Linked DNA regions of Arabidopsis thaliana. The protein of the gene in region 2 interacts with the protein of the main gene of each other region in a pairwise test. Each region holds a gene or a part of one and is shown on either strand. Other genes may lie near its edges. The genes, in order: MORF9, MEF1 and MORF1.

The links.
Region 1: the proteins of MEF1 (region 2) and MORF9 interact in a two-hybrid assay, tested with the Arabidopsis thaliana proteins (one study listed by BioGRID).
Region 3: the proteins of MEF1 (region 2) and MORF1 interact in a two-hybrid assay, tested with the Arabidopsis thaliana proteins (one study listed by BioGRID).

What each region holds. Positions count from the first base shown.
Region 1 is NC_003070.9:3,841,607-3,852,522, reverse strand, and holds MORF9 (plastid developmental protein DAG), read right to left. Parts: upstream 5,304-10,916; 5' UTR 5,251-5,303; coding exon 4,889-5,250; intron 4,113-4,888; coding exon 4,015-4,112; intron 3,918-4,014; coding exon 3,852-3,917; intron 3,758-3,851; coding exon 3,585-3,757; 3' UTR 3,299-3,584; downstream 1-3,298. Other genes in the region: AT1G11440 (uncharacterized protein), read right to left, coding at 2,014-3,105; DUF2 (agenet domain protein (DOMAIN OF UNKNOWN FUNCTION 724 2)), read left to right, coding at 5,651-6,085, 6,178-6,579, 6,685-6,771, 6,861-6,980, 7,048-7,132, 7,257-7,942; AT1G11410 (S-locus lectin protein kinase family protein), read right to left, coding at 8,239-8,565, 8,659-8,803, 8,895-9,132, 9,238-9,651, 9,741-9,869, 9,953-10,916.
Region 2 is NC_003076.8:21,344,508-21,355,760, reverse strand, and holds MEF1 (mitochondrial RNAediting factor 1), read right to left. Parts: upstream 5,387-11,253; coding exon 3,620-5,386; 3' UTR 3,428-3,619; downstream 1-3,427. Other genes in the region: HSP90.1 (heat shock-like protein), read right to left, coding at 614-2,170, 2,259-2,539, 2,625-2,766, 3,082-3,204; AT5G52620 (F-box associated ubiquitination effector family protein), read left to right, coding at 6,080-7,207; AT5G52610 (F-box and associated interaction domains-containing protein), read left to right, coding at 8,283-9,338; AT5G52605 (Defensin-like (DEFL) family protein), read left to right, coding at 10,161-10,221, 10,334-10,545.
Region 3 is NC_003075.7:10,840,792-10,851,843, forward strand, and holds MORF1 (multiple organellar RNA editing factor), read right to left. Parts: upstream 5,357-11,052; 5' UTR 5,295-5,356; coding exon 4,927-5,294; intron 4,709-4,926; coding exon 4,611-4,708; intron 4,522-4,610; coding exon 4,456-4,521; intron 4,370-4,455; coding exon 3,642-4,369; 3' UTR 3,611-3,641; downstream 1-3,610. Other genes in the region: PTAC9 (plastid transcriptionally active 9), read left to right, coding at 1,337-1,752, 1,847-1,985, 2,128-2,240, 2,433-2,538, 2,653-2,800, 2,919-2,983, 3,070-3,198; AT4G20030 (RNA-binding (RRM/RBD/RNP motifs) family protein), read left to right, coding at 5,571-5,706, 5,964-6,032, 6,123-6,229, 6,309-6,455; AT4G20040 (Pectin lyase-like superfamily protein), read right to left, coding at 6,557-7,588, 7,671-7,898, 7,981-8,172; QRT3 (Pectin lyase-like superfamily protein), read right to left, coding at 9,120-10,124, 10,751-10,987. UniProt on the Arabidopsis thaliana protein: Involved in organellar RNA editing. Required for the processing of numerous RNA editing sites in mitochondria. Binds to the mitochondrial MEF19 and MEF21 factors, two pentatricopeptide repeat-containing proteins involved in RNA editing.

The DNA.
Region 1 (10,916 bases), on a different chromosome or scaffold from region 2:
AGTCATGCAAACCCGAGCTAGTTGGTATATCTAAATCTATACTTCGTGTAATCTAATGACACTTAAACATTTGTAATCTAATGACACTTAAACACTTGCATGCCCGTCTCCGTCTGGTCGTATAGGTTCAAGTTTGGGTTCTTTACTTTCAATTGTAATTGGACTGACTCAAGGATTTGTTGAATTTGGTGCAAAATAGGAAAAAACACGAACTTTTCAACGAGATAAACTAATCATATGTAGTAAATAAGTACTATATGAGATTTTGCAACTCTCATTCAATAACTTTTTGCGTGCAAATTTGTTTTGTGCCCATTTTGAATTATATTCGATCCATTAATTATTCTCTTTTGTCTTTTCATTGGATCCATCTTGTTTTGCACTATCTCGTTTTTGTTAATTATAAATGCGTATAATTAGCTCTATATTTGAACTTTTAAAGTTGATGAAAAAATTATATTATCCCCATTTGGGTATATCGAACTCTTTCATTCCTTTAGTTTGTCCATATAACTTTGTAGGGACAAAAAGCAGATGCTATTTTTAGATTCAGTAAGTTATCTAGAAAAGGCTTAGAACATAATGGACGGGGCATTTTCTCTCCAGTAGTGCAGACATATATATTCCTTCTACTAATTAGATCAATTCACCAAATATAATAACAATTGAGTTAGTGGTTCTAATGATGTTAAATTTTTTTTATAAAAAAGTTGTCACAAAAGAAAAGTTAGTGGTTTTGACTTAGTTCTAGAATAAATTTACAAGATTGGTATATAATATATTCTATCTTTTCATATTAAATCATATCTAAAGTTTTTCACATAAATTAAGAAATAATAAAAAAAATATTTTGTTTATTTTATATATATAAATTGTTAAAATAAAACTAATTCAACTAGTAAAAAACATATTCTATTATATAAATGGTTACAATCAAATATATTTAAACTTTTGAAAACATCACTTGAAATAAGATAAACAAAATTCTCTGGATCATCATTTAAAACAAAACAGAGAAAGTATTCGATGAAATTAAAACAGTATAACCAACAGCTCAATAATTATTATACTTTTATAATTTTTTTTATTTTTTTTTGAAAAAGGGTTTTATATATGGTGAATTAATCTGATTATACTACATATAACTAAATTGGAAAGGGATAAGAATAAAAAAAAAGAAGTAGACGTCTCAAAACAAAGTTAAGCCTCCATGACGCACATGTAAAGCTTTCATCAATCATTTTAAATTTTGTTTTAGTTAAGAAGTAGCATGTCATTGAACCTTATTAATATCGCGTGTAAATACGGTATTTTGTTTTGTTTTCTGTATTTGCATATTGTCTATACGTAGTACAGTTTTGAAAATTCCATATACTTACATGCTCAGGTAAACAAGTTATACATCCACAAAAATAATTTCTGCAAAAAAGTATATTTACACATAATTTATTAGTCAACATGTTAACGTCTCAAAAGAGTTTCCAAAAACACAAAAAAATGATATTCTTTTGAATCGGGTACTAATTTTCATTTAAGATAATCAAGAACCCCCATGGTGTTCATTGTTTGTTATTACTTATTAGAGTGTTCTTCAACTTCAGCTAATTCATCTTTATCGTTGACTTTTCTACTTCTACAATTTCTTCTGCACTTGTACTCACAGTGATAGATATTAGATATACCATGATACAATTCTTTCATTTATTTGGTGTTTTTCACAAAGAAATGTATATATACCAATAATAATTACGATGGATACAGTAATCAATTATCACATCGAGTGTAGTATTTAAAGATTTTAGATTTTAAACAAACGTGTTAAAGAGAATGTTACAAATAGAAAGGTTGAAGATAGATTTTGCGTGCGACGTTTTATTATTAAGTAACCCCTCCTCGTTATACAACAGTAAATCTCATCTCTTGTGTAACAGATACTAAAAAATCAGGTTCATCAATAATCAAAAGAATGTTGTTCTTACCTCACATTGACACAACTGATGATAACTAGGGTTGTTAATACATCCGGTAACCATAAGAGGAGACCTCGAACTGATTTCTTTCGCTCCGATTCTCGTAACCGTACGGATATGAATCCCCGAAAAGGTGATCGGAAGTTGTCTTCCACGGATCAGAATCGTTGCTTTCCCAGCAAGAAACAGCAGCCCCACGATCTTGTTCATCTTCCTGACGTCTTTTGTTACGTAACACACAAGGAAAGTAACCTCCAAATATAACCTCACAGAGATCGGTCGCTTCTAATCCGTAACCAGACGGAACATACAAAGCTTTCACTTCTCCTTTATCTACGACTTCATATTCCTCATTTCCATAGCTTGAACTGTGATCTTTTTCTTCTTCTTTAGCTTCCTCATCCCCTTCTTCTTCTTCTTCATCATCATCATCACCATCATCTTCGTCCTCACTTTCTTCATCATAATCTTCGTCTTGTTCTTGTTCTTGCTCTTTAATGGTTTCTATTGGTTTGACTTCTTCTACCGGTTCAGCAAAAGACACACGTTTCTTGACAACATTCTTTTGACCACCATCATAAATTCCAAGAGGAACAGGAGCAATAATCTCAGGAGGAGAGGGAGCTTTAGCGTGAGGAGCGGTTGAACAAGGGTAACAAGTTTCCACCGATGGAGGAAGAGGTTTTCCATAGGTTGCAACAACATCGTAGCCACCACCGTACGGCGTGGGATCGTATTCATCGAATTCCGGCTCGTTGAAGTCAAGAGCAGAGGCTACAGAGCAATAGATACTAAACTGAGGAGGAGATTCGTAGGTTGTATAGAGATTCGGATCATAGAACAAGTGTTTAGGCTCAGACATGGTAGAAACAGAGTAAGCAACATATGCAGAGGTTGTCTCAGACTCGGATCCATTCCAGTTATAACAATTATAACTCATTGGATCATCATAACCAGAGTAAGCAACATATTCAGATTCAGATTCAGATTCATTCCAGTTGTAATAATTATAACTCATTGGTTCGAAACCAAGCTGCTGCTGCTGTTGATTGTAATGATAATGATTTTGATCGTAGAGATTATTAACCTGATTGTAATCGTAAGGACTCTGGTAATTCTCATAGAAGTTGGCCATTTGAGAGAGCTTGAAGGATGATCTTGAAAGTCTTTCTCTGCGGTTGATGAGAGAAAACGATTCAGCTGAGCAGTGATCTGTCGATTAAACTAATTTGGAATGTTTGGTTCCAAGTCCGTGAGAGAGTAGTGTATTATTTCCATGTGATGTGTTGATAAGGTAGGGACGACTGATGTAGATGGTGAGTTGGTGACGAGTGTGTGACCCTACAATTGTTTTGTCTTGTCTGAAATTGGTGTTGAGAAAACGTGGGGAAAAAGCAGTGGTTGACAAAGAATCAAACCAAACCAAAACCGAACATTACCTAAATAAACAAATGGTTCAAGTTGAATTTCATCCTAACATAACAATAGCTATTGTTCAAGGTGTGATGATACAGTATCATCATTTGGTACTAGACGATTTTACACACGACTTCAACAAGCTAAGTGCTAACCAAAAGATCAAAACTTGCAAACACTCCATTATCTTATTATAGTTTAAGAGGAATCAGAGGCTGCTGGTTCTTGTCTTGGTTTCCTCTGTTCAGGAGGTGGAGGACCGTCTCTTTTTCTTTCGTATCTCTTACTTTGATACTTAGTGTTATTGCGCTGCTTTGGTTGGTATGTTGGGTATGTGCACGGGATAATCTCTCCATTGATGTACTTGTCGCCTAAACCCGAGAAAGAACGATTCAATTATCAGAACATGGATACTGGGAGAGAGAGAGATCCTAGAAAGTTTAAAATCAGGCTTTGATGGGTTACCTCCATAGTCTTTGTTCTTGACATCTATGTAGGAGTCAGGCAAGACCCAGAGAACTCCAGGCAAACCTGTGAAAATAATGAAAAGACAGAACGATCAGTATCTTGAAGGTTTTCGACGAACTTTCAATAAGGGGACTAAGGCTCTTCTTGCTCACTAACTAACCCTTGAACTTCTCAGATGTTTCTTCGTCGATGGTGCATTGGAATCCAGTATATGTCGTGGTACTGAATGCATACATGTTCTTCTTCGCCTCTTCCATGCTGGAAAATAGACACAAGTACATATAATAAGCAAACACGATGAACTGGTTATGCTGGAAAATGGACACAAGTACATTAATTGGTTATCACATCAGCAGGATAGTGTAAACCGGAATCAAAGTTCTCTAAAATAGAGAGTAGCACCAAATAAACTAAAGTTTTAGTCATTAGTTGTGTAACACAAACTCGTTCCCTGCCATACCAAGAAATTTCTAGTCAGGAGTCCCAATCTAATGCTCTGCACAATTGTACACTCCTTTTACATACATTACTAGCTTACACTGTCCACATCAAGTTTTTAACAAACAGAAACCATGCACAATCACCTACAATTTATACATAGCTTGAAGAAAATATGCAAAAATAGATGCTTCTATTCTTCCCCCTAATTTCATTCATAATTACGCTAAAGAGCACAAAGTTTTAGATATCAAATCAGACACCAATGTTTTGTGTTCAATATGCAGCAATGTTCAATAAGTTTGCACATATCAAGAGACGAAAAACAAGTCAGCTAAAGATTACACCTGATATTAAGAACAAATTCTGGAACTAGGTCAACTTCAGAGCAAATTTAAAGCTGAAAGCTTTACTCAGCTCACTAAACCCTTACCCTAAAGTATCATCAAAAACCCTAATCTAACAAAAAACCAAATCTTCCTATACGCAACATTGGATTCAATCAAAGGACAAGTCCATTAGCAACACAAGTAAATGTCGTCTATTAGTTAACTAATTCAACAACGAAGAGAATCAATAAGAAAGCGAAAACGAACCTGCCAAGAACAGTAGCAAGAGTGTTAAGGTAAGTATCAATCATCTGATCCCTACTTGGCGCTGGATCTTTAGGAAACTCCATTACAATGAGCCAATGATTGTAATCGCAACCAGGAAGCATAATCGTCTCTCTCTGCTCATTGCTATTGCTCCGTTTCGACGAGTAATCCGAATCCACCGTCGCAGCTTTCACAATCGCCACTCGACGCCGAGACCCAGCGGTGGAGATGTTCCGGAGCAGAGGAGTCCATGAATCGCCAACGCGGATACCAGAGAGTGTAGAGAAACGATTCAGGTGGCTTACGGGGAGAAGAGTTTTGAGGAGAAGCGAGGAAGAAGAAGTTGTTGTGAAGGAAGCCATTGCAATTGCTGAAATCGAAGAGAGAGTTTTGGAGAAGATAAGATATATTTTTACTTACCTGCTTCGTGATGAGGATCCTATGAAACGACACCGTTTTTAATTAGGCCCATTAGATAGTTTGGGCCTGATAATTTCTTAAATCATTTTCTCATAATTTCAAGCGCCAAAAAAAAAGAAAAGTAAATTGGGAAAGAAAAAAAGAAAACACACTTTCCCCGATGTGTATCGTGAATATCGACACTAAGCACAGACACAGTAGCACTGTGTTTTGGTTGCAAAAAGTCTCCTTCATATAATCATATCTATGGTTTTCGGGTTTCAGCAGAAAAGTCTTTTTTTAGATTTAGGGTTAGCAGAGCAAAAATGAGCCGTTATTAGTTTTCATTCAAGGGTTTTTGAGATGGAGCAGATGATATTCATTAGAAAAGACGACAAAGTAGAAGTTTTTTCTGAAGAAGAAGAGTTAAAAGGGTCTTATTACAGAGCGATTCTGGAAGATAATCCAACGAAATCAGGACACAATAAGCTTAAAGTTCGTTACTTGACGCAGCTCAATGAACACCGTTTGGCTCCTTTAACGGAATTCGTCGATCAGAGGTTCATTCGTCCTGTCCCGTCGGAGGATGTGAACGACGGCGTCGTTTTTGTAGAAGGCTTGATGGTCGACGCTTATCTCAAAGATGGGTGGTGGACTGGTGTGGTGGTAAAAACAATGGAGGATGAGAAGTTTTTGGTTTACTTCGATTGCCCACCAGACATTATTCAGTTTGAGAAAAAGAAATTGAGGGTTCATCTTGATTGGACCGGCTTCAAATGGATCCGACCTGATAATAAGGTATGATGAGTTTTTTTTGAAATCGTTTCGCCTTTGCATGAAAAAGTTGTTAACTTTATCCGTTGTTGTATGTTTGTTTTTTGTCTTTGAAGGAATTGGTCAAGTCTGTTTTTAGTTGCGGGACAATGGTGGAATTGAGATTTGATTGTGCTTGGATTCCGGTAATTGTCATTAAGGAGTTGGAGAAGGACAAGAGGTTTCTTGTCAAGTACTGGAATAAGTCCTATAGCTGCCGGGAATCGAAAAATTTAATTGTTGATTCCCTAAGACTAAGGCCTATGCAGCCTCCTTTATCTGTTGGAAAGTATGAATTGCTGGATCATGTAGAGGCGTTTAGTGGTTTTGAATGGCGTCAAGGTGTGGTCAGGGGAATTGTCTTTGAGGGAAGGTACATGGTAAGTTTCGGGGCAACAAAGGAGGCATCGCAATTTAATCACTCTGATATTAGGCCTCCAATGGAGTGGGAAGATGGAGTTTGGCATAAAAGAACAAAGGTAAATTGTATCACTAGTTGCAGGCAACATTGTGTTGGTTTGGTTTAATTAGTGTGACATCTTTGAGGATTAATTGAAGTGTTGTTATGTTATTTCCATTTTCAGCCAAAACGCCAGAAAGAAACTTCTTTAGACGGCAACAGAAATGTGCAGACAAAGGAACCACCGGGAAATGAGATGGCTGATGATGTGGTATATGGTCATAACCCTGCTAGTGGATTCTTTTATAACCTTGTTTGTTTTCTACGCCCTGAAATTGTTCTATGGTCTTTGTTTTCCAGAAAAAAGAATCTGGTTTACCTATAACCCTGGGGGTAACTGCAACAAAGAACAAAACCCAAGGAAAGGTATCCCCTGTGCCAATGAAGAATGGCTTTGGAAATGAGTCAACTCGAGAGAAGGTATTGTTTATGATTGTTATTTATCTTTGAGATGGCTCTCCTTTTGGTTTAACACTTCTATGCACAGATGCCTGAGGAGCCTAAGATCAAATATTATACTCGAAAGAGGAAAAGAGGAGGTCTAAAGCTCAATTCATACATCAATAAGACTGGTATGTCTTAACTCTCATTGCACATTCTGGAATGTAGGACCCGCTTGCAATGGTCTCATTGTACTATTACTGGTAGATAAGCCTTTATTTTCTCATTGTGTTGTGTATGCGTTCATCTGTCCAGTGTTATCCTCGGATCGGACCCCCAATGTGGTGAAGAATTCTGCTTCTAATGCTGAGGAAAACCATGCAAAACACACAATAATGGTTTTGCCTTTTGCAAAGAAGTCACCGGTCTGGAAGACTTATGAATCACTGGAGGTCTTCAAAAGTGTATCACACAGTCTTCATTTCAGCCCATTGTTTGAGACTAAGCAAGATTTCCGTGAAGGGTATGCAATAGGTATGATGGTGACTTATTTTGGGTTACTGGAGAAATTTAAAGATCTTGAAGCCGACGTTCCTGTAAGCCAACTAAATAGCCTTAAAGATTCATTTTCGGAGCTCGAGAAACATGGCTTCAATGTTACAACTCCATTATCACGGATCGACAAGCTGTTAGCACTCAAAGATAGACAACTATATATAATGGAGGAACTAAAAGGTTTTGACAAGGAGATGACAAATGAATTTAGCAAGGCTAAACAAGAGTTTGATGACATGGAACAAAAGATTCTTGAGGTGAAACACAAGATTATCGAGCTGCAGAGGCAAGAAGCTGCTCTAAAAGAACAAAAGGAAGCAGAAAAAGAACAGAAAGATGCAGCCTGGAAAAAGATATGTCAGATGGAGTCATGTGCAAAAGATCTCAATGTAGAGCTTGAAGATGTGGAGTTTGAGTTTGAGACAATTTTGTCGGCTCCTTGGTAAGTTAAGAAAAACAAACCTATGGTGAGCACTTTCTAAGTTGATTTAAAGATTTTTATGAGATCATTATTAATATGGTTGGTTAGTGGTTGATAAAAGTCGGGTTATGTAGAGAAGAAATGAAGCTAACCATGTAATCCCCTGTATAATGAGGCTAACTTTTCTTTTCATTAGGTATTTGTAAACTTTATACAAATAAGTTTGCATACGCTTTAAACACATAATTTTCTATATAACAAGTATTACTATAAATTGATACCTATAGTCTTCTTAGATTATAAAGAAGAGGAATACACTTCTTAACGACCTTGAACATCGGTGAGAGTAACGTCGTTAATAGTACTGCTGGTTTCTCCGCTGGGCCAATTATCTGAGCTGCCGCCAGTTTTGGTGTTTCTCCTCCTTCCCGCCGTAAATGCAGGATGCTTCGGAGATGGAAGATCAATGGCGTTATGACCTAACATGAAGACAACAGAGGACATGTCTGGTCTGTCTGAAGAGTTTTCTTGCACGCAAAGTAACCCAATGTGTAAGCACTTCATTACTTCGCCCTCATCATACGTCTCTTCACCCATTAATTTGTCTATGATCTCTATAGCTTCACCATTTTCCCATCGATCCCAAATCTACAAGACGAAGAAACAAACGTTTGCTTATGTTCTGTTTTGCTCCTCTGTATCCCCAAGTTATGTCAAAGAAAGGAAGAAGTTTTTACTTACATGTTTGACTAGATTCAAAGATTCCTCATAAAAAGCACTGTTTCTCTTTCCGGTTATGATCTCTAAGATCAATACTCCAAAGCTGTATACATCGGATTTAATAGAGAACTGGCCGTCCATTGCATACTCTGGTGACATGTATCCACTGTGACAGTGAGATTGAAACGACCTTAAAGATTGAAAAAAAGAAATTGGAGAGTTTTGTGGGGATGGATTGATATAGTAGATTAACTCACTATGTTCCGACGACTCGATTTGTGCTTCCTTCGATTTGGTTGCCTCCGAAGATTCTAGCCAGGCCGAAATCCGCAATCTTCGGTATCATTTCATTGTCAAGAAGTACATTGCTGGCCTTAAGGTCTCTGTGGATGATCCTCAGCCTTGAATCTTGATGAAGGTATAAGATTCCACGACCAATCCCGCGGATTATCCCCATTCTTTTTGGCCAATCCAACTCTGCTCTTTGCTCTTCATCTATGAGAACAACAAGGAGGAAAACAAAACAGGAAAGCAAATTCGAAGTCACTGATCGTCCTGAATGGGAGAAGTTGAATCTATAGAGGAAATGTTGAAACGTACGGAATATGAAATAGTCTAGGCTCTTGTTTGGTAAATACTCGTATACCAACATCTTCTCTTCAAATTCAACACAACATCCTAAGATCCTCACGAGATTTCGATGCTGCAGCTTCGATATCAACTTGACCTCGTTCTTGAACTCTTCCATTCCTTGACCTGAGCTTTTTGACAACCTCTTCACTGCTATTTCCATACCATTTTGTAACACACCTTTATAAACAGGTCCAAAACCACCTGCTCCAAGCTTGTTTTGAAAAGCAAAATTATTCGTTGCTGTAGCAATCGTGCTAAGCTCAAAGAGAGGCAACTCCCGGCTTCTTGATTTGTCCTCAAGCTCTTCAAGTATGAATGAGTCTTCAAGATCAAAAGAGCTCGGAGCGAAGCTTGATGGAGCTTTTCTAAGCCTGTTAGACTCTGCACTTGTGAAAGTGTTCAATTTGTTAGCTGTGATCTAAGCAAGCAAACATATAATCTTAAAAAATCATCATCAGAGAATTTCTTACGTGTTCGTTGTCTTCGCTTCCTTAAATAACAGTGAAAACTGATCAGTAGTAACATCACGACTGCAATCAAACTGATGAGAATTAAAACAAGTCTCTTCTTCCCCGATGCGCCATTTCCATTCCACCGCGCTGAAACAAGCAAACAAATCAAATTGCTACCACCTTTGTTGCAATGAAACAGAACAAGTTGCAGAGTATATGTATATTAGTACCTAACTCTGACTTATCTACGCGTAAATAGAAATCCTGTCCTGAGCTCAAGTATGTCCTAGTATCCAACATATTGCCGTGCCATGTCAAGCACCCTTTAGCTCCATCTTGACTCTCGTGGTAAGCACTCGCATAAGCAACACATGAGCAGTTCTTCAAGCACCTCTGTTCACATTCCTTCAGTGTTATGTTCATATCCACATTAACAGCTGATGTATTGGGAATCTTCACTCGCTTCAACTTTGCAAACCCTTCTTTCCCATTACATATCGAATCTGCTTTTATCCTCGTGCACCCATCCGAAGCATCTCTCAAGAACCAATCTCGAGGTGTCTTAGGCTCGTACCCCGGTAAGCAAGAGCACTCAAACTTCTCTGTACTGGTGGAATCACAGTAACCGTTAAAGCCACAGTGGTTGTAGATGTCACACTTATCTTCGGGAGCTGACCAGAACCCGATCCATTTCTTATCTCTCCCGTTCCAGCGAAACCGTTGCAGAGTTCCTGTCTCGTTTAGCACCATTCTTGTTGTAACCGAAGCATCTAACACTCCATAAGTGATTGATACTTCATCTGGATTATTCACAAACGAGATATTGAAGATAAACTTGTTTGTCATTTCAGGCACACCACTCCATCTTTGCCCTGTCCATGACCCAGTACGCCACCAAAGAGTCAGACCCTTGTACATCATCATCTGCGGAAACCCTCTACGTTCTATCCGGTATGTAATGTTTCCAGAACCCGGGTCACCAGGAGATCTCCAAGACGTCATAATACGATCCACACCGCTTTGACGAGTGAATCCAAACTTCATAAAGGGAAGCAAAGTGTTTGTAGGATGATTAAAGCTCTCCCAGAAACTTTTCCCTGTGACAGGATCAAGTAGAACAAGGTTGCCTAAATCAGATAGCTTCGCAACTAAAGCAGGTTCTTGGATCATATCAATAACATCAGTAGACCAAAT
Region 2 (11,253 bases):
ACAGTAAGACCATGGAGGAGTTTTCAGCTTTAAATTTTGCTTTTGTAATTCAGATTCCGGAATCCTTCATAATCTCTATCTGAGTTTAGTTTTGTTGTTGAATCAAACATCCGATTTAAAGTTATGTTCATTCCATCTTCTCTCCCCTTTTCGAGCATGCGAGAATATGATTCCCCCTATTGAACAAATCAATCAACCTTTAAGCGATAACAAATTGGTGTTGTGAAAATTATTAACTTCTTGATCTCGTTTTGTCAGATCTAAAATTACTATAGCCAAGCTACCTTTCACGTCAAGTTGTCACTCCTATCTATTCCAGTGATCTTAGGAAGTCTATCTTTTGGAAGTCAAGTTTTACTCTAGGGAACCAAAAGATTTGTTCAGAAACAAGAAAAGTTCCTTAGCTGAATAACAAAAACTTGAATCAGTATTAGACAGACCCACCACACGATATAACAGACCTGACACAAACCCAACCCTAGAAGTAGTCACAATGTTCAAGTAACTCTAAAGATATAAAAAAAAAGACAAAGACATTTTGGAAAATCTTAAAACTCAGAACAACTCGACATATTAGAAGTTTTCAGAACCATAAGAGCAATTTCTTCATCTCTTAGTCGACTTCCTCCATCTTGCTCTCTTCAGCAGCGTCCTCCTCCAACTCAGGCATATCACCATCTTCCTCAACGTTCTCATCCTCATCAATACTCAGACCCAACTTCAACATCCTGTGAATCCTAGCAGCAAAAGTGTTCGGTTCATCAAGACTGAATCCAGACGTCAACAAAGCTGTCTCATACAGCAACATGACAAGATCTTTAACAGACTTGTCATTCTTGTCTGCTTCAGCTCTCTTCCTGAGCTCCTCCATTATACCGTTGTCGGGGTTGATCTCCATTGTTTTCTTGCTCGACATGTAACCACTCATGCTGCTATCTCTCAACGCCTGTGCCTTCATAATCCTCTCCATATTTGCAGTCCATCCATATTCACCAGTTACTAGACAGCAGGGAGAGTCCACAATCCTGTCTGAGACCACAACCTTCTCAACCTTGTCCCCGAGAATTTCCTTAATCGTCTTGCACAGATTCTCGAAGGACTTCTTCTTCTCTTCCCTCTTTTTCTTCTCTTCTTCGGTCTCATCTTCAAGTTTGAGGCCTTCTTTAGTCGCAGAAACAAGTTTCTTACCGTCATACTCCTTCAATTGTCCAACAGCGTATTCGTCAATCGCATCCACCATGTAAAGTACCTCGTATCCTCTCTTCTTCAGCCTCTCCAAGAAGGGAGAATTCTCCACCGCCTTTTTGCTTTCACCAGTGATGTAGAAAATGTCCTTTTGACCTTCCTTCATCCTTGTGACGTAATCTTTGAAGCTCGTCATTTCATCACCACTCTTTGTGGAGTGGTACCGTAGAAGATCAGCAATCTTTCCCCTGTTCTGACTGTCTTCATGGATACCCAATTTGAGATTCTTGGAGAAAGCCTCATAGAATTTGGTGTAGTCCTCTTTGTTCTCAGCAATCTCGTTGAACATCTCAATGCACTTCTTCACTAGATTCTTCCTGATCACCTTAAGGATCTTGTTCTGTTGAAGCGTCTCACGAGAGATGTTGAGTGGCAAGTCATCAGAGTCAACAACACCTTTCACAAAGCTGAGGTACTCTGGGATTAGCTCTTCACAGTTGTCCATAATGAACACCCTCCTGACATAAAGCTTGATGTTGTTCAACTTCTTCCTCGTGTCAAAGAGATCAAACGGAGCTCTCTTTGGTACAAAGAGAATGGCCTTGAATTCTAGCTGACCCTCCACTGAGAAGTGTTTCACGGCTAAGTGATCTTCCCAGTCATTGGTCAAGCTCTTGTAGAAAGCAGCATACTCTTCCTTAGTGATCTCTTCTGGCTTCCTCAACCAGATCGGTTTCTGCTTGTTGATGAGTTCCCACTCGTGAGAGACTTCCTTGATTTTCTTCTTCTTTTTACCATCTTTCTCCTTCTCCTCATCAACTTCTTCAACCTCACCTTCGTTTTCTTTCTTTGGTTCATCTTCATCCTCATCGTCACTGATCTCCTTCTCGGTGGTTTTCTCGGTCCAAAGGTAGATAGGGTAACTGATGAACTCAGAGTGCTTCTTCACCAAGTCTTTGAGTCTCCTCTCCTCCAAGTATTCAAGCTGCATGAATAAACACACTTGTAAGAACACAGAAAACACCAAAAGAAAAGAAACAATCCCCAAAACACTCAAAGCTACGATTCCTTACCTGATCGTCCTTAAGGAAGAGGGTGATCTTAGTTCCTCTACCAAGTGGTTCCCCATCCACATCCCTAGTGACAGTGAAGGAACCACCAGCTTGAGACTCCCAAACGTATTGTTCATCATCATTGTGCTTTGTAGTGACAACAACCTTCTCTGCAACAAGATAAGCAGAGTAGAAACCAACACCAAATTGTCCTATCATGCTTACATCAGCTCCAGCTTGAAGCGCCTCCATAAACTCTTTTGTTCCAGACCTCGCAATGGTTCCCAAGTTGTTCACCAAATCTGAAAAAATAATAGAGAGTCATAACCACAGCACATACACTAAAACATCTCACCAACGAGAGATTATTAGGCATTGATTCGTTACCTGCTTTGGTCATGCCAATACCACTGTCAATAATTGAGAGCGTCTTATTAGACTTGTCAGGAACCAATCTAATGAAGAGTTCAGGCTGTCCATCGAGCTTGCTCTTATCCGTTAAGCTCTCAAATCGGATCTTGTCAAGAGCCTACAAAACCATTCATATAAACAAAGATAATCAGAAGCTTTCCTCAATCCTCTAGGGTAAATCAAAGACTACATCGAAGCAAGAACCGTTCTATATATGTAACTACAACACATGAAGATCGAGCACAAGCTAAGAATTCTAAACTTAACGTGATGCACAAGCCAAATCACGATTTATTTGAATAAGCAATCACAACGCTAAACCTACGAATCCAACGCTATCAACGAATCCAGGAATTAAAGAACAAACAACATGCAAGAAAATAGGAAGCGGACGAGTCACACCGAGCAGAGAGAGATTTGAAGGGAAACTTACATCAGAAGAGTTACTGATGAGCTCACGGAGGAAGATTTCTTTGTTGCTGTAGAACGTGTTGATGATCAAGCTAAGAAGCTGGTTAATCTCAGCTTGGAAAGCAAAAGTCTCTGCATCAGCCATCTGAACATCCGCCATCGCAACGAACTTTGATTCAACGCAAACGAGAAACGAAAGAGAATGCTAAGAGAAAATTTGGAACTTCGAGAGCGTTTCGAGAGATTTGTGATTGTTTTGTTGATTTATGAAGAAGAGAGGAAAAAACAAAGTGATTTTATAGAGGAGAAATAAAGTTCTAGTCTCTTCTTTTGAAATAAAGGAAAACCAGTGATTTCTGGATTGTTCTTTGAAAACGACGCCGTATTTCGATGAAATCAACCGTTTTTAGCTTTGTGAGCAAACGAATTCCAGAAAGTTCTTTTCGTTTCGAGACTCCACTTGTTTCAATTCCGAATAGGTCTGGCAAAGAAATTTCGCCGGTTCAGTGTGAACTGAATGAAATTATGGTTAAATATAAACCAACTCTCATTTGTCTTCTTCACCAATAGTCATTACAAGAACACTTGCCATCTTCAAACCGATGAAACCGATTATTATCTCTCACAATGATCACTCGTCTCGTACATACGGACATGAACTTGATCGCGTTATGGCAATCACCGCAAACACGCAGATTCTTCATTACTCGGATCGGTCTATCAGCTGGAAACGTGATCAGTCCAAAAGCAATAGCTAATCTCTCACTATGATACCTTATGGTTTGATTCTTCTCGTCACCATCCACTTCTCTCAGAACATAGCTTGTGTCTGCAATGTAACCCGCTTTCTCCATCTCTTCCCCTAACTCAGCCAGCTTCTCATATATCTCCTTGCTTTTCTCATGACGTCTTTCTCCAGCTGCAAATGTATGAACCTTGTTCCTTTCTTCAACCCAACTTAGCCCTGTTTCCTTCTTTTCCCCTCGGTCTCGAAGCAATTTTCTAGCTTTAGCTGCGTCTTCGAATCTACCATCGGCTGCATAAGCATTGGATAACGAAATGTGCATACCGGAACTCACTGGTCCTAATTCGAAGACCTTGTCTGCTGCAAATGCTGCAAGCTCTGTGTTCTTGTGGACTGTACAACTCGTTAATAAAGCTCCCCATACAGATTCCGTGGGATCAATCGGCATATTAGTGATAACTTCAAGTGCTTCTTGTAATCTACCAGCTCGTCCTAACATATCCACCAAGGAAGCGTAATGCTTATCCGTCGGCTCAATCCTCGATTCTTTCATCTGATCAAAGTAGTATCTCCCTTCATCAACTAGACCCGCGTGACTACAAGCATTGAGCACATTCAAAAAAGTTATGAAATTTGGTTTCATTCCAGAAAGCTTCATCCTTTTGAACAATTCAATAACCTTTTGAGTATGTGAATGTTGCGCATACGCCTTGAGCATAGCGTTCCAAATCCCGAGATTCTTCACAGGCACCTCGTTAAAAACTTGATAAGCTCCTTCAGGAACACCACACTTTGAATACAACGAGACTAAAGAACTTCCCACAAAGCTAGAAGAATCAAAGCTAGACTTAATACTCAATCCATGAATCTGTCTACCTAACTCAAGTAGAGTCGAATTTGCACAAACACTAATAACACTCGAAAACGAGTAATCATTAACAGCGAGATTCTCAAACAAAGCTTCTTTAAACAACCACAAAGCTTCCTCATTTTCACCCATTTGTGCATACCCATACATCATCCCACTCCAAGTAACAACATTTCTCTGAGGCATTTCGTCGAACATCTTCCTCGCATAAACAATTTCTCCACATTTCGCATACATATCAACCAAAGAACTCCCCACAAACACATCAGCATCATACCCAGTCTTCATCGATAGACAATGAACTGATCTACCAATATCACAACGACTCAAAATCGCACACGACTTTGTAGCTGATGGAAGAACATGATCATCAGGTCTAAGGTTTCCCGCCATCATTTTTTTAAGAAACTCGAGTGACATCCATGGAAGCTCGTTCTGGGCAAAACAAGAGATGATTGAACTCCAAGTCGTCGAACTTTTTTGTGGGCTATCTTCAAAAGCTCGACGAGAATCAAACGGAAGCTGTGATTTGGAGTAGAAATTAATGAGGTTGTTAGCGACGAGAGGGATAAGAGAAAGGCCTGATTTAACGACATAGCCATGAAGCTGAAGTCCTTTAATAGTTGATCTGGTTCGAGCTGAAGAAAGAAGAAGATCACAGATTTGATTGTAATTGTGACATGGAACGAAGAAAGCTGAAGAATTCAGAGCCATGGGGAAGAAGATGGTTGAACTCAGTGAGAAACCAGGTCTCTTATTGGGTAACGTTTCACAAGGCCCATTAAGTCGTTAGGCCCATTAGTGACTTTTAGTGCCATTGCCTTTGAAACCCTGAAGTGTCGCCTACGTAGTCTGGAACTGGAAACCAAAAGACACGATCTTTAAAAAACTCGATGGAAAGGGAAGACAACTCAGACACCAAGAATTATGACTTTGAAACTAGTTGTCTAAGCCTGATTAAATTAGAAAAACATAGAGAGCTTCTTCGTATGGGATTAGAAGAAAGCTCTTCGAAGCATAGACTGGAGAGCATATACGTGACTGAGTTTAATACTAGTTTCAAGATTCTTTGCATTGGTATGGCTAAGTTATATTGTGTCCACTGCGTTATAATTTTACCATCATTGCCCATTGTTAGTAACACCTTTAATGTTAGTTAAAACCAACTATGCATCCTATAAAAGATAGTTGGGGACATTAATACGTTACCTCCCCTAAAAGGCTAAAATAGATAGTTTCGTCCAGCCTTTTAGTTGCCTCTAACATGGCCCATGAATTCATTCGGCCCATTAGGTATGAATGAATTGCCTTTGAACCCTAGGTTGTCGTCTACGTTAAGTCTGGAACTGGAACTGGAACTGGAACTGGAACCAAAATCCAAAATACACGATCTTTGAAAAACGTACGATGGAAAGAGAAGGAAAATCAGATCCAATCCCGATTGATATCATTCTCGATATACTCTCGAGATTGTCTACTAATTCAATCGCTAAGTTTGGTCTCGCATCCAAGTTCTGTGGATCTATACTAAGAGGTCAAGATTTCATTGAGTTGTTCCTAATTACTAGGCCCTTGAGTCGTCCACGTCTCTTATTCGCGGTTCAAAATTCTGATAAGTGGTGCTTGTACTCGTCGCCTCAGTCTCAGTTTCCAGATGAGAATCATTCTCTTGTAGTATCAGCCGATTTTCATATGGAGTTACGTAGAGACATGGGACAAGAGATTTTTGGCCTTGTCTCTGGTTTGCTCTATTTCCCTAATACGCGTACAGGCGAAGTGCCGGTGATATGTAACCCTAGCACGGGACAATACGCAAGATTAACTCAAAGGAGTAGTATGAACAATTTGAGCAGCTTATTAGGGTATGATCCGATTGGCAAAAAATACAAGGTAATCACACCAAGCAGTTCACATTTTGATCCAGAAAATATTCTGACATTAGGAACTGGAAAAGTAGCATGGAGGAGTATCCGATGTCTCGTAGACCATTATCCTGAAAGTGAAGGGATATGCATCAATGGGGTGTTGTATTACATGGCTAGCAACAAATTCCAGTTCAGTGGTGTGAAGATAGCTTCCTTTAATGTAAGGTATGAAACACTTAAGTTTCTTAATGCGGATGTTGACGTAACCTTTTGTCCTGCGCTTGCTAAACTGATTAATTACAAGGGTAAATTATGCGTGCTTAGTTGTTTATGGGATAATCAAATTTATCCAAAGCCGCTTCGGTGGAAGGTACTTATGTTGTGGTTGTGGGTTCTAGAAGATGCCGAGAAAGAAGAATGGTTGAAACGTGAATACACTTTGCCGGTGAATATCGTTCACGGCAATGTTTCCGTTGTTGGAGTGACTGCTACTGGTGAAATTATTTTATCCATGGATTATACATCGGAATCCTTCTTTGTTTACTACTTCAACCCCGAAAGAAACACTCTGGAAAAAGTTGAAATCCAAGGTTTTGAAGGGTCAGAGAAGAATCTTAGTAGTAGAGTTTACACCTTTGTTGACTATGCAGAAGATGTCAAGTTTATATAACTCATAGTCTAGGTAGTTTACTTGGAAATGTGACTTTTCATCAGACAAGTTTTGTTGTGAGCTTCATCATTTGTTGGCAATTTGTTTTCCCAGGTTTTCTTCTCTATTTTACTTGAACACATGATAATGTTTTATATCCTTCCATCAAATGCATTTTCATAAAACTTCTCTTTGGAAATGATATTATAGTCTATAAGGTTTTTTTAAGATCTCTCTATCAATTTTGTGTTCTCGTTTCTAAGAAATTATAGGTTTATACCCGAAACGACATCCGTCTCTTTGTCCCCAACTTCAAAAAAAAAAATCTACACTTTGGTTTTGACCAAAAATAAGTATAATATAAAATCTACACTTGTGAACTCACTCTTCTTGTTTATATATATGATGATTAACTGAGTATCAAGACAGCTTATAATCATTCTCAAACACTAAAACTTTGACACGCATATAATTCTTTACTCTTGTGCAAATTAACGATTCATACTTCGTCAAAGGCTTAACACTCTCTTTTGAGAAAGGTGGTGATTAAAATTTGAACAACAAGCTTAATTGCTTGGATTATTAAGTCCAACCCACCGTTTTTTGTTTCTTTGGAGAGAGATAGAGCGCAACAACCGGACTACACAATAAGACAGTCCAAGCTCTGTTTCACCAGATCGACAGTCGATATTTTATTTTAAACAAAATTTCAAAATTAAAATAATTTTAGATGATTATCCACTTATTCATTTCCATTTATATTTTTTAAGTACAGAAATTGTAAATAAAATAATTTTTCAAAATAATATAGTGTAGTATTAAAACCACGCATTTCTAGTCTTACAAAATGAATCCGAGGGAGTAATATACAAAAAGCTAGTCGCGGTTATTAATTGTATTGACTTAATCATTTAGATACGAATTTAATTAATATACATTTTTAAAAAAATGTAGTCAAGTCAATCTTATATATTAATGACTAAGCAAATTACTCTCCCATTGCATTTGTATATATAAGATAGAATCTTGATTTATAGATTATCTATCTTATCAAACAGAAAAAAAAAAAAAATACTAAACTTTTTTCTTATCAAGTATGATTTCTGAAGACCTTTTGGTCGAAATTCTCTTAAGATTGCCTGTGAAACCCCTAGCTAGATGCCTATGTGTGTGCAAGCTTTGGGCCACAATCATCCGCAGTCGATATTTCATCAACTTATACCAATCTCGATCCTCTACTCGTCAGCCATATGTCATGTTTGCTTTACGTGATATATTCACATCTTGTCGTTGGCATTTCTTCTCGTCATCCCAACCTTCTTTGGTTACCAAGGCGACATGCAGCGCCAATAATTCTTCTCATACGCCTGATTGTGTCAATGGCTTGATATGTGTCGAATACATGTCTCAACTGTGGATATCCAATCCTGCCACGCGTAAGGGTGTACTCGTGCCCCAATCCGCTCCACATCAAAAGTTCAGGAAATGGTATATGGGATATGATCCTATCAATTATCAATACAAGGTTTTGTTTTTCTCAAAACAATATTTATTATCTCCCTATAAACTGGAAGTGTTTACATTGGAAGGTCAAGGTTCATGGAAAATGATCGAGGTTGAGAATATTCCTTCTCCCTCAACCAGAGGAATATGCATCGATGGGGTTGTGTATTACGGTGCTCAGACGGCGCATGGACTGAGGCTTGTTAGATTCTACGTGGCTACTGAAAAGTTTGGTGATTTCATTGAAATACCGGTCGGGGCTAGTAATGTTTATGATATGAACTTTGGTTACTCTAAACTTGTGAACTATCAAGGGAAACTAGCTTTACTTGCTGCAAAAAGTATGAGCATGTATGATTTATGGGTTTTGGAAGATGCCGGGAAACAAGAATGGTCTAAGGTTTCTATCGTTTTAACTCGAGAGATGTTTTCGTATGATCTTGTTTGGCTAGGTGCGGTGGGTTTTGTTGCTGGTAGTGATGAGCTTATAGTTACAGCTCATGATCGATTTTATCAGATTTATCTTGTCTATGTTGATCTCAAGATGAAACGTTCAAGGGAAGTTTGGCTCGGAGGGATCAGATGCTCAGATCGATCATCTTTAGTGCTTACTTTCACGGATTACGTTGAAAGTATTATGTTATTGTAATAAGAACAAGAAGAGTGATGATCTTGCATGATCACATGAGTTAATGGATTCTTCTTTCGTATAATGTTTGTCAGTTCTTTTTTTTAAATATAAATGTTGGTCAGTCTTGTCCAAGTGAATCCTTTGTAATAATTTTAATGTAATAATAATATATGCTCATCTCCTCGTCTTGTTTCTTCTTCACCGCATGAGTATTAAATAATATGAGCAGAAGTTGTAAGTTGTAATAACGGCGAGTAAACGAGTTTATATAAAAGTTCGTCATAGAGCGCAACAACCGGCGAGTAAACCAAACCGATCTAAGTTTTGGTTTAGAGTTCAAACAAGAATATTACGACAACGGATATGTAGAAGATGTATGTTTGATGTATTTCACAAAGAGATACAGAGCTTGTTTATATACAAGTAATAGGCGTGAGCCTCAAGATTATATTAATTTCCTAAACTAGTGAATTGGAATATTGAGAAATGAATGAGTCTCTAATCATATCTCTTGACAGAATAAACCCACAGAAAATATTAGTCTGCATTACCTTGCAAACTACCAAAAACGTTTATCTAAATAAGTCATGTATGTCTTGTAATAATGTAGTCAAAGTTGGAATATCCAATCTTTTTGGAAACATGTTTTTAATTTGGTTGACCAAATATATTGTATTCCTTACAAATTTATTATGTGAGATAATGTTAATTCGAAGGATCCCTTGAATATAGTTAGAATTCTAATTATAAATACGAAACAACTCCTTCTTCATTCTCATTCAAATACAAAAATATCAAAAAATTCTTAATATTTTGATTTAACAAAGAAAAAAGAGAAGAATGGTTAGAACAAATGTTGTCTCTTTTGTTTTATTTGCTGCTATTGTATTATGTATACTATGTTTTTTTTGTATTTAGCACTAAAGCGTTAACCTTTTTTTCCGAAGTTTTTATGTTGGAAAATTAATTCATGTAATATTATTTTTGATTAAATGTAGGATCCATTCAAATAGATGGACAAAAACACATCGCACCCTGGATATTTGAAGACAAATCGATATGTTGTAAAGAACATCCGAGTGTTGGAAGGTGTCTTCCAGGCATCGATGATGATGCTGAGAAGGATGGGAAATGCTGGAAATTTTGTATTGAAGGGTGCGAAACAGGAGGTTTTTGCAAACTTTTTGAACATAAACATATATGTCATTGCAATTGTTCCGGTTAATATGCATCATGTAAAATTAATAAGGGTCATACGTATAACACAAAGATAAATTGTTCGAAAATTAATAAAGATCTAACTACATTGTTTGAAAATGATTACGCAATTATGAAGTTTTATCAGTCAGAAAGTAGTCATAATGCTATTATTTTATATGAAAGACAATAACAATGATGATGATAGCAAACAAAACTAGAGGCATGAGTTGCTGTTTGATACGACAGAGTAAACTCCTACTAAAAGTAATCTACATTTTACTAAGAAATATTCAAAGATTCCAATTTGGTATTTTAGTTTTTGTTATATGTTTCACATTTGGCACATATTAAATTTTATTATTTGTTTTGCTCCGCAAATTTACGATTATACAGATTTTTGGATCGGATCAAAGTGGATATAATGAATCGAATATGATACCACATATTTTGTTCAGTCTTCATTTTTTATAGGAAGGTACATCAATGAGATCTAGGCATGTCATTGTGTACTAAAATTTGAATGCCCTTTGTGAGCCAAACAAAAGTTACACAAAATAAAAAGATGGTTTCTTGTTGTAATAATTATCTTTTGGTACTATAATGTTTTTCGAAAGTTATTGACCTATATGGAATTTTCAGATTTTAATCGTGGTGTATCTTATGATATCATATTAAAAAAGAAAATAAGTTGAATCGTGTTTTCTTTTTAAATGTAAGTTACCAAATTCCATAA
Region 3 (11,052 bases), on a different chromosome or scaffold from region 2:
GTAAACTCCGTAAAAAAAAAAAAAAAAAAAAAAAGAGAATGGTAATTTGAAAAGAAACCTCTAATTTTTTATTTTGATTAAAACATAAAATTTATTTCGAGAAAAACTTTTGACATAAGCGTTGTCTCAAACATTTTGTTGAATACAAAAAGCCAATAAAAGAATAGATGAGAGCTTCTTCCTTATAGGCGAACCACATCGCCATACACGTTCATAACGTCGATCACCTTGATCTTGTATGGAGGTAAATACCGATTAATTCTTAGTAACTGCCTGACCTGATCCACAAGTTGACCATGACGCATTTTTTTTTAGCGTCCTACGGATTATGTATAGAACTATATCGTGTATATAGCAAAATCTATATATAGAGACATTATATAATATACATTTGTATGATGTAATGCAAAATAACCAAAAGCGTGTGGTCCAAAGGTTTGTTCAAAAGAAGGGTATGGAGTAAAGTAAATGATTAATCTTATGGATCCGTGTCAATTATCAAATTCCGTTATCCCCGAAAATTGTTATAGTTTTCTTTTAAAACTATTTGAAATGATCTAATTAACACAAATATTAAGTTATATATATATATATATATATATATATATATTTCGATATTTAGTTTCAATATCAGTATAGATCTACTCTAGTTATGACAGCAAACTGTTGTGATTGCACTTGTTAAAATTAAGAAAAGATAAAAGCGACTCTTGAGCATCAAGTAAGGACAATTAACATCCTCGACAAGCAAAACAACGACCAAGTCAATATAATCATAGCTAAATTCTAATTGTATCACCTAACAAAACAAAAACGTTTTATTGTATTTTTATGAGTTTTGAAAATTACGGCTATAGCGTGAAAGGTGAGACGTTTGTCTTTAGTCTTTACATGTCAATTTACGAAATGACGACTGAAATCAAATTATTCTACGTGTTTTGATGTGCATGGCGTTTAGCTTATTGTTTTTTTCGATATGCGATAATAGTTTTAAGTCTACCAGTTTTATATAATAAAATGGCTATTATATTTATATCTACTGTATATGATATTTACACCAATTTTAGCAACATGCTTCTTGACTCCGACTATAAGTAATTGAGATGGACCCAAAACAATTATAATAGTGAGGCCCATACAAGGCCCAAAGTGAACTGAATAACTAAGATACAGTTATCTCCGCGCCAACACAAAACGACGGTAAATTACTACTTGCCTGAGAAAATTTTGCCCCCTTTTGCTTCAATTTGTTGTTTCCTTAAACCCTTCAAAGCAAAATTAGGGTTTCTCTTGGTTTTCGCAAATTAGGGATTTTTTCTCTCGTTCTCATGAAAAGATGAGTTTGATTTCCAAATCCTTGGCAAGAATTGAATGTTCGCCATTTTTTTATCCAAGAGCTTCAGAAATCACTACCGGAAAACGGATAACCTCTCCGCAAATCCGTTTATACACTGCGGCGGCCGTCGGCGGGAAAACTGGAAATGGAGAAAGGAAACAAAGAGCCAAAGCACCGGCGAAAACTCCGGAGGCAGTGACACCTGTGAAACCGCTGGAGATTGCGTCAGTCACGGCGACGACGGAGAATGAATTGCCTCGGCCTAATGAGATAGCTTACGAGAGTGAAGTAGCGAATTGGGTTAATCTGATTGGATTTGTTGATCAACCAGTTCAATTCGAAGCTTCTTCTGATGGCAAATTCTGGGCTGGTACTGTTATTTCCCAGAGGTCTGCTTCAGATTCCTCTGGTTTCTGGTACTCTCTCTAATCTATACTCAAAGATGAGATTTTTATTTGTAACTTTGTTTGTGATTCATATTTGAAAAGGTTTTGGATTTTGTTTTGTCAGGATTCCGATAATATTTGAAGGCGATTTAGCTAAAACCGCAGCTCGATATGTAAGCAAAGACGATCAAATTCATGTGTCTGGGAAGCTGTTTATAGATTCTCCTCCTCCAAATATGACTTATGCACAAGCCAATGTTCAGGTGTGAGCTTTAAATAGTATTTGATCAGTTTTATGATACTTGTGAGAAGAGTACTATGTTGATTTGATTATCCCTCGAGTATGTATGAAAAGTTCCAGAGAACCTTTGTAACTTTAGGTGGTTGCTACTTGCTTTACAACAGGTATTGGTCCAGAATCTTAACTTTATACAGCCTATGTCCCCGTCTCCGTCGCCATTTATGGTTATGTCATCATCTGAAAAGGAAGAAAGTGGTATCAAGAAGCAGCCTGGTATGTCTCATGTAACATTTCCAATGAACAATTTTCAATTGGCGCTTGTGTTAGGTCTGAGAAAGGCTCTTAGGGAGCTACTTTTTAATCTCTTGTGATGTATTTAATGAAAAATGTGTTTTCTTGTGAAATCTTTCTGGCATACATTTGTTTTCAATGCTCTGATTAATGGTTTGTTAAATGAGTCTCTAGCTAGAGCTAAGCAGGATATAGTCATTGATGAAGCTTCAGATTCTTGGAATCACCTCATTGAAAATCCTAAAGAATGGTGGGATCACCGGGAAAATAAAGTCAATGGATTGGTAAATGCCCCATGTGCTTAACTATTCATCCTTATCTCACTCGCAATCTTTTGATATGGTGTCTGCTAAATCTCTCTACTAGTTTTCTGACTTCTTGGTTTTTCTCCTACATAGGTAAAACCTAGGCATCCTGATTTCAAAAGCAAGGACAGTAGTTTTTCGCTGTGGCTCAATAAGGCTCCTAATTGGGTTTTGCCAAAACTCGAAGGACTCGAGTTCGATGTTCTAGTCCCTAAAGCCAGAGTTGTAAAACAACTTAAAGGTAAAGTTCCCAGTCATTTCCATGTTCCTATGCAACTATACAAAGAAAGTTGTTTACAGTTATGTGGCACTTGTTCAAGTATGTTTGTATAAACTGAAATCTGGGCTGATATGTGTAGGAGAAGAATCATGGAAGGACTTGGTTCAGAACCCAGATAAATGGTGGGACAATAGAATCGACAAGGTAGGATACCAATATCTTTTGCTCGGTTTTTCATCAATCTTTCCAAGAAACTGACCTATTGTCCCAATATCGTTTTTGTTTTGAAGAGAAATGCAAAAGCCCCTGATTTCAAGCACAAGGAGACAGGTGAAGCACTGTGGCTAAACGAGTCTCCTACTTGGGTATTACCGAAACTGCCACCAGTCAAGAAGAAACAAGAAAGTATTGTCTTTTAGCTTTAGAAACATTATCTCCATGTAAAGAGCTCCAAGTGTTTACAAAATTCATCATTTCTATTCAAAGTGGTCTTCAAAGTTCCGTTTGATTTTTGGTTAGTAGACTGAATACAGTAGCTACAAGTGTGGACGATTCCAAATGTCTCAGGTAAAGCAAGCATATTAGGTCTTAAAAGAACTTCTAGAAAGAGTGTTTCAATTTCACAAGCGCAACCAACAACGTTAACAAGCTCAACTTAAGAGAAAAAAGGACTAACTATTGTCTTACAAAGTAGAAAGATGACTAAATACTATTTACTGTAAAACTTAATAAAAGGCCTTTGACACTTCTCTCCTTATTCAGCTCAATTCACTGCAGCATGCTCTCTGTCTAGTACCTTCTTCCCTGTGGAAACTGAAACACAGGACCATCTCAGTAACAAATATGGGGAAAATGGGGTACTTTAATGCCTGATGAGGATATCAAAAAAGAAAGATGCAAGATTCATTATTGATCGAGATCTTACTTGGTCAGACCCGGGCTGGCCTGCTGGATTATTGTTGTTCCAGTCTCGATTCCTCTGATCTGCCTGTGGGAATGTCTGATTCTGCTCTTGTCCTGGTCCAGAATACCCCTGACCATAGCCAGGATTTCCAGCTCCAGGTGCAGGACCTAAGTTTCCAGCTCCAGATGCAGGACCAAAGTTTCCAGCTCCCTGTGGATTGTAATTCCTAGGTCCTCCTTGGTTGTAACCACCTTGTGGCCCTTGACTATAGTTCCCAGATCCACCTTGACCGTAACTGCTTTGTGTTCCTTGGTATGGAGGCACTGGAGATCCCTGGACTTGATTGTAACCTGCCTGATATGGAGGCACTGGAGATCCCTGGCCTTGATTGTAACCTGCCTGATATGGAGGTGGTGGAGATCTCGGGCCTTGGTTATAACCTCCTTGAAATGGTGGAGGCGCTTGAGTTCCCTGACCTTGTCCTGGAGTGGCATAGCCCTGTTGAGGACCATAGCTCCCTCCACCACCTTGCATTGGTGGTTGCTGACCATACTGTGTGTTTCTTTGGAAGTTTTGGGGACCACCACTTCCTCCTCCTGAACGGTCAAATCTAGGACGAGGTCTTGCTCTGCCACTCTGAATCGGTGGTGGCCTGTGTGTTATCACTCCATTCTCGTATTTATCTCCTGAAAACAAGAAACATAATTTTGTTGATAGAGTCCCAACAACAAATATCCAAAATAAGACCAGTTTGTAAAAAAAACCAGCTCACCTCCATACTCTTTGTTCTGGGGATCAATGTAGGAATCTGGCAAGATGAAAACCACTCCGGGTAGATCTGTTTACATATACCAATAACAGAGTCAATATCTGGTGAAAAAAGTTGAATTCAAAAGAAAACAAACATAAATGATTCGAACTATATACCCTTGAACTTTTCTGATTCTTGTTCAGTCATGATTGCTTGAAATCCTTGGTAAGTAGTTGTGCTACAAGCATACATCCTTTGCTTAGCCTCTTCCACGCTGACTCAACCATAAACACCAAAAATGAATCAATATAATCGTCTTAACCAATATCAATACCAGAAGAAGATACACAAAAATCAAAGCAGAGCTATATAACAGTGAATGGAACCCTAGCAATGGTAAAGTTCTCACATTTAAGTAACTTACTGAATGATTTTTGGACAATTTAGCCAAAAGCAACGAATCTAAGCAGTGACAAAAATTCATCTACTAACCTGATGCCAAGTCCTTGGGCGCAAGTTTCTTCATAAGCAGCGACCATTTCTTCTGGAGACTTAGGAGTTTCCTCTTTGGAGAAATCCATAGTGATAAGCCAGTGATTATAATCACATCCTTCGAACAACACAGTGTCTTCCGTGATCTCATCACCTTCTTTGTAAAGCTTGTACTGCCTCGTTGAAAACAGTCTCGCCGGTGCTCGAGTAGCTACTTCCGTCGAACGCCCTATAACGGATCTCTTTAACACCGCCGCCGACACAGAAGGGAAATCAGACGCTGGTGTGATCGAAGAGCTAATTGATCGGTTAACATAGGAAGTCGCAGTGAGTAAAGCTCGTCGGAGACGGTGAGATATCATAGCCATCGTTGCCAGAGAAATTATGAAGGAGTGGAGAGTATTCTGGAAAGCTTTGGAGAAATGAAATTAGGGTTTTTGTGTGGGTTTTACAATATCTAAATAAATAGTAAATTACTTTTTAAGTCCTTATTGTTTCAAATGTTTTTAGTTTCCGCCTAAAGTTTCAAATTTATCACTGGGCCAAAAAACTTAGGCCTTAGCTTTTTACTATACCGCTGTCGTTTTATAACTCTCTGTTTGTTTCTTCTTCTTCTCCCTCTCTATTTCCGGCGACTGTGAATTATGTGGTCGGCGACGTTATCTTTCCCTTCTTTTGTGGCTTCTTCATCTTCTCTACCTAATTACAGGAACCTTAGGTTTCCAAAGATTAAAGCTTCGCTCTTTAATTACCCTCTAGCGAGCAAAATCATGGTCAGAAGTAAGATTCAGATTATCTTTTGGTTTATATTTGAATTCGCTTCTAGCTGAGATTAGGACATGGTTCTGTTATTGTTCCAAAAGTAATTTATGATTCTGGTTTGATTGAAATTAGTTGATTTGAGTCAGGATTGTGACGGTAGTCATATGTGATAGCTCTAAGCTCTTGTAGCAATCATTAGTGAAGTTGAAGTTGGTTGTAACTTCAACTTGGTAATTACTCTACGGTTCTGATGTTTCTTCACTTTGAATTTGTAGATTTACCGTTTTCTACAAGTGAAGATTTTCTAAAGAGAGAGTTTTCAGCTTTTGGAGAGATAGCTGAAGGTATGTTTGCGGTTTCAATTTTACTCTGTTTTGTTGCTTTAAGGTTCAGTTTTATGGCATTGATATGTTCACTCTTATACTTCAAAACAGTTAAGCTTATCAAAGATGAGGCAATGAAGAGATCAAAAGGTTATGCTTTTATTCAATTCACGTCTCAAGATGATGCTTTTCTTGCCATAGAGACCATGGACCGTCGGGTAAAAGCTTCTTTCAATCACAAGTTTACATTTTTATGTCTTGAAATCAACCTAAATGTTTCCCATTCCTCTGTTGCAGATGTACAATGGCAGAATGATTTATATAGACATTGCGAAACCAGGTAAACGTGATTTCCAAGGACTGCCTAGGACTTCTGGTCCACCTGAGAAGTCGGATGAGCCAGAAGAAGCCGCTAATGATGAGGTTGCTGATTGCTGGTATTAGTTGTTAGTATCAAGCTCACCAAACTGTAACTGAACTTGTATAAATCAGATGTCAAATCATGCTTTCTTATTAGGAATATGATCAATGTGAAGAATGTTGTTTTACTGATAAGCAATTATTGACACGGTTCCAGTTACAGCTCTATCGGTTTCTACAACCACCATATTGTTGGAGACATTGGTCACTGCATTTGCAGGGATCTGTCCGGATTGAGCGAAAAACGAATGCTGGTAATGGTTTATCCGGTTAGGGAATACCAAAACAGGGGAAAAATCAGCGATCCATCGTGTTCCATTTGCGGAAACCATGGCCTTTCCGGTTGTTGATTTCAGCATCATCCCTTCTGCATTGTTTTGATCAATCACAACTTGATTAATATCATGAAACTCTCCTTCTAGCTTGACAATCGGGAAGTTGTTTTTGGCGGTACCGCTAAACATGTTGTTGACGATGTTTACACCGGAAATCTTCCCGTGTACCGATCTCAAGACGATGTTTGCATCTCCTAAGAACAAAGCATTGGTGACATGAACATGGACAGGGTCTTCTATGACTATACCTGTGTAATCAAGGTAACAATTATCTATCCTCGTTAAATGTGATTTCACTAGAATGCCAATGCCACCAAACCATGTAGCTTTATTGTAGCAATGCACACCCGTAACCATATTTGCACCACCATTCAAAGAGATACCGATACCAGCCGAGAAAATCACTACATCCGTAATGGCATTGTCGTTACTCGAGATATCGATTCCTGTCCCAGTAAATCCTCTTTCTTCTCTGTCTCCTCCTACCGTTGAATGTTGCCCCAAGAAGGAGTTTGAAATGTATGTCTCATGACCTCCTTGGACTTTAATCCCTTGCGTTGTGAAATGGAGGAAATAACAATTGGTTATACGGATACGAGCTGAGTCAATCACCAAAATACCACCTCCTCGGAATCTTGAGTCGAAGAGAACATCTTGGAAGGTCACATCCTCATAGAAGATCCCAGAGCTCTGGTCTTTCTGATCGGAGAAAGACTCCTCTGGCGACATTTTCATTGGTTTCTTAGCGTTTGATGCTACAAGCTCAACTAAATGCCTATCACCAGGAAACAGTTCTGATGCCCGGAAAGTCCCACCTTTCACCTGAATTACACCGAACAATGTCTTAAAAGACTCAAACCTTTTCATAAGTTTCTTAAGTCAAATTTTAAAATGAGGGACTAACCACAAGATTTCCGCCACCGGAGGAAGGGAACCTGAGAGGTTTTCCGATCATGTAACTGCCACCTTGGAGATCAATAACTAGACCACCTAAATCAGCGACACGTGGCAGCATCTCAAGTCCAGTTTGTAACTGAAAAGCATCAGTTAAAGCTTCAAGTATTGCGTCACTACTGTCTTGTCCACCTGTAGGGTCAGCTCCGTAACCAATCGGGTATATCACCTTCCCAACCTGCACAAACCAAACTCACACACGCTCACAAATCACACACACGTGCCTGTAATACATTAGAAACTGAACAAGAGGACTTTACCATTTTGGGAGAGTGAGAAGAAGGAGAAGACACTGGTGAGAGAGTGGGAGTGACTGCGAGTCTTTCTTGAATCTTCTCTTGGAGCTTTAAAAGCTTGGTCATGTCTCTTCTTAAGGATGATGTCTCTTTAAACTCCATTGAAATCGTGATGAGAAACAGTAACAACAAGCTAATGAAGCTATAGAGACTCATCTGATTTTTCTTGACTCTTGTCTTGTTCTTGAGTGTGTGAGAGAGAGAATTTCTTAGGAATGATTATGAAGAAGATGCAGGTAGATATGTGCGTGTGTGTATATGTATTAAAAGGCAAATAATCTCTGTTATTAAATTTTGGTTTATTTTTTCAATGTACACCGACTCGAGTTCCAATCTATTAAATAGAAACACTTTAGAAGTTTTTGCTTTATTCATAAGAAAATGCAAAAAGATCAAAGCATGTTCGTACGAACCGCTCAAGTTCAACAAAGAAAGATCAAAGTATTTGAAAATTTATTCCTAACTGGCCTAATATCAAAAGTATTATGTGAAGTATGAAAAATCATCAATAAAAATAAAATGATTACTTGACGAGAAAATAAAATCATTCGTTTTAGACTTTGTTTACAACACATCTTCAGGCTTTATTCGTCATAAAGTTTGCTTTTCTTTTTCATAAGTATTCATCATTCAATAAGAAAATGATACTTTTATTTTCACACTTTTTGATGCCAAAAAAAAAACTTACAGAATAAAGTATGTCGAAGACTTGAAGTAATACTGAAAATGGGGATTGAGTGTGGAAGTATAAATAAATTTTACTTTATGGCCAACATCTAAAATTTGAAAATACAGAGCATCAAAATCTCCTTAGATTATCTTTCATAAGCCACCAACTCTGTAGAAATTTAATTACATTAGGTAAAGCTTTATTTGATTCTAGTGTAATTTCAGATTAGTCATTGCATTGAATTTCTTCTTCAGACAACAAGTAAATGTCTGCCACCAAACTCTTCCACTGTAGTCACAATTTTCGAGTTTTTATCATTTATTAGCTGTATAAAAAATAAATTTCCCCCTTACAGGAAAAATTACAAATAAAAACCAACAAGTATAAATCATTTTATAAAATTATAAAACCATTAAACGGCAAAAACACGACATTAAACTCCTTGATTCACTGTTACATAAACTGTCCCAGTAACAGGAGCGTTTGTCTCAACGACCACCCGGTTATCAGAAACGTTCCTTAGCGCGTGCAGAGGAAACACGCCAGCTTCACTCGCCACAAGTGTGTACTGCACGTGGTTGATTAAATCCGGGAACAACAAAACCGGGTTAAAATCAACGGTCCAAGACGTCCCGTTTCCATCTACCGAACCTCTAGCCACCGTCGATTTCTCTACCATTCCGTTCACACTGTTACGGTCAACGACCACCTGGCCAACGTCATCAAACGCAGTGTTCCTCTGATCCAATTGAACAATCTGGACCCCATGACCCGACCCGGAAAACATATTGTCAACAATACTAACCCCACGAATATATCCGGCTATCGATTTCAACAAAATAAACGCATCTCCCAAAAAAAACGTCCCTGAAATCTGTAACTGAACCGGATCTTCCGCGACGATACCGGTATAATCCAAATACGAATTCACAATCCGGTTCTGAGTTAAACCGGGTAATCTCAAATAAATCCCGGTTCCTCCAAAACCGGTTGCTTTGTTATAGCAATGCACGCCGGACAATAAGTTAGCTTGTCCCGATACCATTACTCCGATCCTGGCGGAGAATATAACGGTGTCAGTAACGGCGTTATCGTTTCCCATCAAATTGATGGCGGTGCCGGAAAAGCTTCTTTCTCCTCTGTCTCCACCGGCGGTTATGTGTTGACCAAGAAACGAGTTTCGGATATAAGTCTCGTGTCCACTTTTGACAAGAATCCCGTTCGTGTCTCCGAACCGTGTGATGTAACAGTTGTCTATGCTTGTCCGGAGAGAGTTGATGACGGCGATTGCTCCGCCGCGGTAGTTGCAATCGATGAGAAGATCTCTGAGAGTTATGTATTCGAAGATGTATTGTAACTTTGACGATTCGTCTTTGAGTTCGATTAAGTACCTATCGACCGGGAAATCATTTGATGCTCTTAATGTACCTCCGCTTATCTGACGTGTCACACAAGTCAACAAACAAACAAAACCATCAATATATTTCGACATAGAAAATGTATGTGTAATGGAATAAACAAATTATTAACGTAGAAAACATGTAACGAAATGTGGAATGAGAGAATTTTTCAATTTTTGTAACAAAGGAGTTTTTGAAAAAAAGGAAGTAAATCTCATAAATAATTAATTTTAAATCGAACGAAACTTCTTTTGTTGGAAAGTTATAAAAAGGTCATAATGTTTGAAATTATGAAAGAAACATGCATAGAAAGAAAGGAATCAGTCTATTCTCGTGAATGAGAAAAAAGATTTAATTACTTTTCCATTAGTTCACCAAACCTAATAGCATCTTTAATCAAGTTTACGTTTAAATTAAGGTTGTGCTATTTTATGTTTTAGATACTTTATTTAACATATGGATGAAATGTCATATCACGTCACAAAGACGGGCCAAGAAGACATATTTTTATAGAAACATGACTTTTGTCGATATATTAAATCACACGTAGGAAAAAAATCTAACTCTATTTGTAAACTTGCAATGAATAAAACTCTTGCAATGAATAAATTTAATATAGTTTGACAAAAAAAAAATGAGATAGGAAAATAAGAGAGATACTTACAAGAAGATTTCCGGCGCCGGCTGAGGGAAACCGTAGAGGACGGCTGATTAAGTAGCTTCCACCTTGAAGATCAATTCTTGCTCCTCCGAGATCATTTATACCTTGCATCAAAACTCCATGATTTGGACCATCAAATGCTTCTTCCATAGCTTTTAATATTGCATCCGTGCTATCCAATTTCCCTGTGGGATCGGCACCATATGATATCACTTGGTACACGCGCGGACCGGGTACGGCCTACATCATTTTATCTTCTATGTTATCACTTGATGAAAACCTTCTGAACAAACTCAATCATAGAT